Caenorhabditis elegans: one gene and its partner. The protein of the gene in region 1 purifies or fractionates together with the protein of each later gene. This does not show direct contact. Each region holds a gene or a part of one and is shown in the gene's direction. Other genes may lie near its edges.

Region 1 (4,144 bases):
AAACCAGATGTTGGTAGACGGAGGTATAAGAAATCGGCGAGAAAAAATAGAAGACACTGGAAATTGAATGACATTCAAGCTGGCCAAAAATGGTTAAAATCTCCAGTCTACAAGGCGAAGTAGGCCTACCTTGTACCTACACGCGTACCTACGGCATTAAGGTAGGCATGCATGTAGGCATGAAAAGTCATGAATAGTTTTCTAAAGTTTTCTTGAAAATAATCGGTCATATTTCTTTTTTTTTAAAGAAAGTTTAGGTTTTTCAAAAATAGTTTGTGTCGTTGAATTTTGAGAATAAGAAGAACTAAATTGAATAAGAAGAACTAAATTGAATCAAATTTGTGTTCTCTGAGAAAATTTGAAGTTCTCGAAGAATTATTTGTCTGAGAAAATCCCATCACAAAATTGAGATCATTCGAATTTCTCTCCATAAAAGAATGTTGCAAGGCATATATAGGCCGCCTCGTAGGCAGGTAGGCTTGAAAATATGTCAACTTTTCCAACCAACTCACCATGCACTGAGAAATACTAATTGCACTCAACAAGTATACATTGTTATTTCTATCTCTAAAGGCATAATACAATTTGACCAATATCCGCAAAATAATGATAATTGTTATGGGAATATAAAGTATTGGAACTAATAGAAAAAGCATAGGAAGTGTGTAAAATGAGAATTCAAAGTTAATAAAAGTCGAATTTCCGTGAATTCCAACATATGAAGAATTTAAAACCGGCGGAAGTGTGAACATTTTTAGGAGACAGGGAAGTTCACAAATGAAAGCCGTGCCGTCGCGAAAAATATATTAATCACAGGTTTAGAAAAGCACATTTTAGAGAAGAAATTGCTCTCGAGTTGCACCTAATATGAGATAATATCCTATAAATAGGTTTAGAGAGCAAGCTAGAAAACCAGATAATTGGCACTTTTTTGATCAAGAAAGATTCGGAGGTTTTTGGCTACTGAAAATGTTATTTGAAAGTTTTTATTCGAGTTTAAAGGTGAGAACTACAATTTGAAAACAAAATATGAAAGGTGGAGTAGCAACAACTATCAAATATTAAGAGAAAACTTTAAAAAGTTTTCTGGATAACCTTGAAATGTTGAAAATTGACCAATTGGTTTTTTGTTAATTGTAAAAACTCTAAACACTTTTGAATTTCTGAAAATGTTATTAAAAGTTGTGGTAATTATCAAATTTACGAGAACATTTTGACGTATTGATGTGGAAGTTTTGTATTTATTTCAAAATAAATACAACACTTCCACAACCTAATACGCCAAAATGTTCTCGTAAATTTGACAATTACCAAAACTTTGAATAAAATTTTCAGAAATTCAAAAATGTTTAGTATTCACGTATTCACCGAGTTGTATTATTTTTGACTATCGGCAAATGCCAAGTTTTCAAATTATCTATAATTTTAAATTTTCGGCCGAATTATAAAATTGCCAAAACTTTGAATTGCCGTCCACCCTGATATGCATATTTTTCATAATATTTCAATCAACTGGTTTCAACTCTATGTTTTTGACCCGATATCACCTTAGAAAGGTTTATTAGATTTTTCTGATAAGAAGTATCCTTTTCCGATTCAGACGAAGAGATAGAGAAACGTGACTGTTGTGTTGTCATCTTTCTTCTCCTTATATATATTTTTTGTTTTTTGTTCATCGGTACAACTAGTTAAATGTCAACATCTTGAAGCACTTTATTTTTTTCAAGTTTTCAAATTCACTACACAACTGCCAAACTTCTATAATTACTTCATTTCTAAATTTTAATTTTCAGATGTCGAGAAAATTTCCGTCTTTCATAGTTGATGCATTTACAACTAAGAGTTTTGCAGGAAATCCTGCAGCAGTTTGTCTTATTCCAGAGGTAATTAGTAATAATTTGGACCATAGTATATGGTTTGTATTTAATTAAAAATAATTGATTTATAATTTCCAATGATGACACTCCATCTTTAATCATTGTTTTAGTTTTATTTCCAGGTTTTTAAAGACCAAGAGTATTTGAAAATCGCTGCCGAATTCAATCTCTCCGAGACAGCATTTCCAGTTCCAATTGGTTCAACTGACTTCAAGACTTGCTCTCAGTTTTCCCTACGCTGGTTTACTCCAAAAACTGAAGTTCCGTTGTGTGGTCACGCAACTCTTGCAACGTCACACGTTCTGTTCAATGAAGTTGGAAATGTGAATAAGGAGATTAAATTCGATACCCAATCCGGAGTTTTGATTGCAAAAAGAGATGAAAAAGGAAATGTGGAGATGAATTTTCCCGAATACGATTTGGCGTCAGTGAAGTTCAATGATACCCCAAATCCATTGCAGGGCATTTTTTCGGAGGTAATATTTTATAAAATATTTCAAAAGTCTTTTCGAGAAAATTGAAATTTCAGTTCGAAGCACCATCATTCCTGTTTGAAGTTATCAAGTGCGTTGTTCCAACTGAGGTGAATTTTTGTAGTTTTATTGGGTATGTGTGGTAGTGCCTGCCTACCTGCTTAAGTGCCTTCCTAGCTAGAACTCCGGTGTTTGGTGTTCATGCAATGTGGTAGGCACGAGGCAGGCAGGCAGGCCTTATTCCGATAATTTTTCGTGAAAAGTATTTTATTCTGAAAATCTGAACATTTACGACAACAAACCTGGAAAATTCCTCCTGAAAACCAGGAAATTGACGTGTGTAAATCTGAAATTTGTGTCTGAAAATCTGATAACATACGTCAAAATTTTTGTAAATCTATACCTGAAAGCATGAAACTTTTCGTCTAAAATAAATTCAAGTATGAAAATTATTGTCCAACCGTCTTAAAATTTATTACTGAAAAACTGGAATTTTACATCTGAAAATCCAAAAAATGCACGTTTAAAAATCGTAATCCAGTCCCTTCTTTTTCAATCAGCTCATATTTCAGATGATTATCGAATCAGTGGTGTACTCTTCAAAATCTCGCAAACTAATCGTCATTGTGGATCCAGAAACCACCAAATTTGAACTTGAAGCCGTTCGCATTGATTGCTCAAAAATGCTCGAGATTCACGATGGAAGTTTTGTAAGGGGCCTTGCCATTTCTCTTCGTCCATCAAATCCAATGGCTCAAGGATTTGTGGATTCTTCTGATGAACCATATGACTATGCATGCCGTTATTTTGCTCCGTGGGTTGGAATCGATGAGGATCCAGCAACTGGATCTGCGCAATGTGTTATGGGACCGTTCTGGTCGAAGATGCTCGGGAAGAACGAGTTGTATGCTTTTCAGGTAATTATCATTATGGAGCTTTTTCAATGATAATTTTGATTTGTAGGCTTTTCCAACTCGAGGAGCTCAATTCAGGATTCGTCTTCAAGATGACCGTGTGATTTTGAACGGACCTTCTGTCACAGTGCTCCGGGGAGAGCTTGCGTTGAACTAATTTTCAATATGAATTTGAAGTAAAATTCCCAAGAACTCTACTCCACCCTCAAAGTTTTTGATTTTTGATGACTATCAATAAATTTATCTTCTCATTTCACATTTCTCCCATTTCCAAAGTACTTTCAAACAAATTTCCAAACGTATAAAGAATCTGCAACAACACAATCACAACCACTACAACCCCTTCTTTTCATTTTCTTTTCACATGTTTTCCACCTTTACAAGACCAACTGTTGACCCCATGTCCTTCATCTTTTTCCTTTTTTCACTTCTTTTGGCAAACGACGTTTATTTGGAATTTCATTAGCCATTCGACACGTTGTCACAGATGACTGAACACTATCCTTCGTACATTGTCGATGCTTTTGCAAAGAAGAGATTTTCTGGAAATCCAGCTGCGGTTTGTCTTATACCACAGGTAGGTCCCAAAAGTTTTATTTTTCTAATATAGATGGTGAGTATGAAATATGTATTTAAAATAACTTTTACATTGTAATGGATTAAAAAGATAGAATTTTGAAAGCAAACTATAAGTTTCTACCGGAAAATTATTTTATTTGATTCATTTGAAAAAGTACTCGACGGCAATAAATACGTCGTAGAAACTGTTTTGAAAAGTTGAAAAATAGCTTAAATTTTAAATGTTATTAAATATGGTTCTGGAAATAAAATTAGAAAAATTTTTCCTGACTTTTAGAGAAATAGCATGCAATTTTCCGAT
Region 2 (3,429 bases), on another chromosome or scaffold:
ATGGTCAATTTTACAAAGCTATTGGATTTTCGAAAATTAGTTTTGCATCTCTACTCAATTAAAAGTTAGAAAATCTATTCATTTTGCATTTTTAAAATTCCTGCTGATACCAAAAATATTTCGATGAGTATATTCCAATTTGACCAATTCTATCTTTTCCCACTGTCTCAAAAAACATATTTTCTTTTTCTCAAACGTGATAAACAGGTTTAATTTGAAATTCAGAAAATGAACAAAATAATTTTTCGAGTAAAATCTTTACATAGAGTTACATAGAACACTCCCTATTAATAGATGTGAAAGATTAATAAATTATATTCGAAGAGTTCTTATACGATTTTTGGAATGCCCTCTCTAAATTCACCAAATTGAACTATTTGGATAACAAGTTGATCGGTTAATCAGCTGAAAAACGGAAAGAAAAGCATAAGACAAATAGTTCATAATTTATTTTTAGTCAAATATTTTATTAGTTGTTTTATAAATATCAGCTGGTTAGCTATGCTAATCAAGGGAAGCGGCGGATCAACGAATAAAAACGGTACATTCATCTCATTCAATAATGAAAATAAAATGAAATAAATAAAGATAAAGAACATTCTTTTTGAAAGTCGCATATTTTTATAATGAAATGCCTTTTCATTGATGTTGAGTGCTTTTGAAACCAGAGAAAAAATTTGGATAAAGATTTATTTTCTAAGAAGTCTTGGATTTATTTCATGATTTTTTAAGAAATCGCTAAACCTTTTGAGTTCCAAGTCCCAAGTATCAAAATTAAAAATTGTCTTGATTTTAACATTTTATTTTAACTTGATTAACTTATTTGGCATTTATGGCTTTGGAATGTGAACTTTTGTCATTTTTATGGGGAGCTCAAAACACATAAATAATTTTTTACTGTAAAACCTTTCGTTGTTTGAAGGAAAACTGACGGTTCTTTATTTTTTAACCCAATGGGGCTCAAATCAACTGATTTTATAATGAGAGTTTTCAAAGTTTTTAAAAAATGTTTTATACAGGTTCAAAAATTTTGAAAAATGCAAATGTTATCTTTACTTACGTAATTTGGTAGTTTATCTCACACTATTTTCTTGGTTAAAGAACATTTAAGGCCGATAGGTAACTAAGTTTGGTCGTTTTTGGTTACCCATCTGCGTGTAACGTTTTTTTATTCAACATAATAACGACATGGGAAGAACGGCAAAAAATGCATTACAGGTTGATATTCAAAGCTAATCTCCAATCGCAGCGACACTCAATGGTTAGCGAAATTGGAGATTTAAGCTGTTTAGAATTTTTAGGTAGTCTCATTACGAAATTTGTGTATTCGCGCACATTTTGAGTAGATACACTCCAAAAACCTGGAACTGATACTCCTCCTTTAATTTTTTGTCAAATAACCACATTCTCCATATTTAACAATTATATTTTACACTTCCTGGCTACTTCCAGTACAAGAACCATACCAACATGTTCGGTCGTTATCAATCGGATTTGTGAAGTCTCTCAAAAACGTTCTCTTTCACTTCATAATCAGCTTCCCACCTTTCGAAACTCCGCCTTCAATTCGCCAGTAAAAGCAGAACATTCCGTTGGGCGGGCAAAACAAATACGCTCCTCCCACATTATCGAGATACTATAAAAGAGATACCGAAGTGGAATTCTTTACGAACTAGGTTCCAATTCGAAAACTACTTTTGTTAAACTATATTTTGCATTTGGAAAAATGCTGCTCATCTGCATATCTGTCCTTGCTGCAATTTCAGCTCATCCATTGTCATCAGGAGAGGTAAGTCAAAACCATCTGATTAATTAAAAATCATTCACTTTTCCAGATGCGTGCAGCAGTCTCAAATTTGGTTCGAGAAATCGACTCCACTCATCTAACTACTAAACCATCCCTGAAAATAATTGAAGGTCTTGAAGACAACACAGTTAGCACTGGCGAGAGCGTAACTCTTCGATGTGACGTACTGTCCACACCGACTGGAGTCATTTACTGGGAAAAGGATGGCCAACGAATCCAGGGAGATAAAGAGCTTAATGTTTTTGAAAAAGTATTGAACGCTATGGGTCCTACAGTCGAGTCAGGTATCATCACCAGTAGCTACCAAATCCCATGCGCAAATCTCCATCATATTGGATCCTATAAGTGTGTAGCCACAAATGGGCACGATACCGTCGAAAGCTCTGCAAAAATCTCAGTTGGTTAGTTGAATATAATTTCTATTAAAACATTCTTAACTTAAAAATTTTCTTGCAGAAGGACAAACTGTTAAGTGTAAATCAACGCGCCGCTCAGCCCCAGTAATCACAATGTCTACTGAATCCCGATTTGAACTTCAAGACAATGCAGCTACTCTTATCTGCCGTGCTGATCGTAGAGCCAATTGGAATTGGATGTTCGAAGACAAGAAAATAGATTTTGACAGCGGCCGATATGAACTACTTCCATCCGGTGATCTTCTCATCCGGAAAATCCAGTGGTCAGACATGGGTTCATACTTTTGCATTGCTCATAACAAGTATGGAGAGTCCCGTGGTGAAACCTTCTTGTATCCCACCAAAAAACATATTGCTTAATTTATTTTGTTGGTATCCTTAAATTTATTTTTACATCCTGTTGAATTGTACCCCTAACTTATCTAGTCGTTTTTCCTTACAAACCCGTGAACAGATCTCACTTACAACACTTGATTCTATGCATATTTTGTTCCCTAATAAAAGTTTTCATTTTGATTTAAAAAAAAAAACAATTATTTTGTTGGAACATTGAACAAAGCACAAACAATACAAACAAATCATATCGTATGTTTTTTCCTAATCTAAGACTATTCACTGTTGGTTATCATAATTCATTTTGCCATCCACAGCAGAGAAAATGGTAAACAATATGAATCTTTCTAGTCTGGCGTTTGTATAACCAAGGAATAATTTTTTATTTAAAGTTGTTTCCCTGTGAAAAACCCAGAATGAAACATAATCAAGTTTCAACGAGCATCTTGATTATTTCCATAGTGATTTGAAAAAAGCACGGATTAAGTGAATAAGCCTCAGTATTCGTCAATTTTCTCAAATTCTCACTCAAACTGGATAGCAAAATGTACCATTTATACAGGTGACGGTGTAATTTGTGTTTACGTCACTAGTACACAAATTTCACCTGGTTCTGTTTATTTAATTGTGAGCTTTTCAATAATCCACATAACCTTTTTCCCTACTCTAAGAGTATAGTATTCGTGTATGGTTGTGAAAACGTAAAAATAAATAAACTAGAGTATTATATATGTCGAAATACGGTTCCGATAGTTTTGCAACGCGTAGGTATGTTTGTTATATCAATTTTAAGGTTAAATACGTCATCTTCATAATTTTTCTTGATATCTTTACCTTGTCACACATTAACATAAAAAGAAACCTAATTTTTGT

Evidence for each region.
Region 2: the proteins of T04A11.5 (region 1) and zig-3 fractionate together in Caenorhabditis elegans (co-fractionation; one large-scale study listed by BioGRID). This does not show direct contact.

What each region holds. Positions count from the first base shown.
Region 1 is NC_003282.8:12,484,187-12,488,330, reverse strand, and holds T04A11.5 (Phenazine biosynthesis-like domain-containing protein), read left to right. Parts: upstream 1-1,793; coding exon 1,794-1,883; intron 1,884-1,999; coding exon 2,000-2,353; intron 2,354-2,406; coding exon 2,407-2,460; intron 2,461-2,922; coding exon 2,923-3,267; intron 3,268-3,313; coding exon 3,314-3,421; downstream 3,422-4,144. Other genes in the region: sru-26 (Serpentine Receptor, class U), read right to left, coding at 1-56, 513-752; T04A11.4 (Phenazine biosynthesis-like domain-containing protein), read left to right, coding at 3,752-3,841.
Region 2 is NC_003284.9:7,929,071-7,932,499, forward strand, and holds zig-3 (Zwei Ig domain protein zig-3), read left to right. Parts: upstream 1-1,667; 5' UTR 1,668-1,726; coding exon 1,727-1,789; intron 1,790-1,835; coding exon 1,836-2,208; intron 2,209-2,263; coding exon 2,264-2,583; 3' UTR 2,584-2,738; downstream 2,739-3,429. UniProt on the Caenorhabditis elegans protein: Required for maintaining axon position of PVQ and PVP neurons postembryonically in the ventral nerve cord (VNC) by preventing axons drifting into the opposite side of the VNC that could occur during body growth and movement.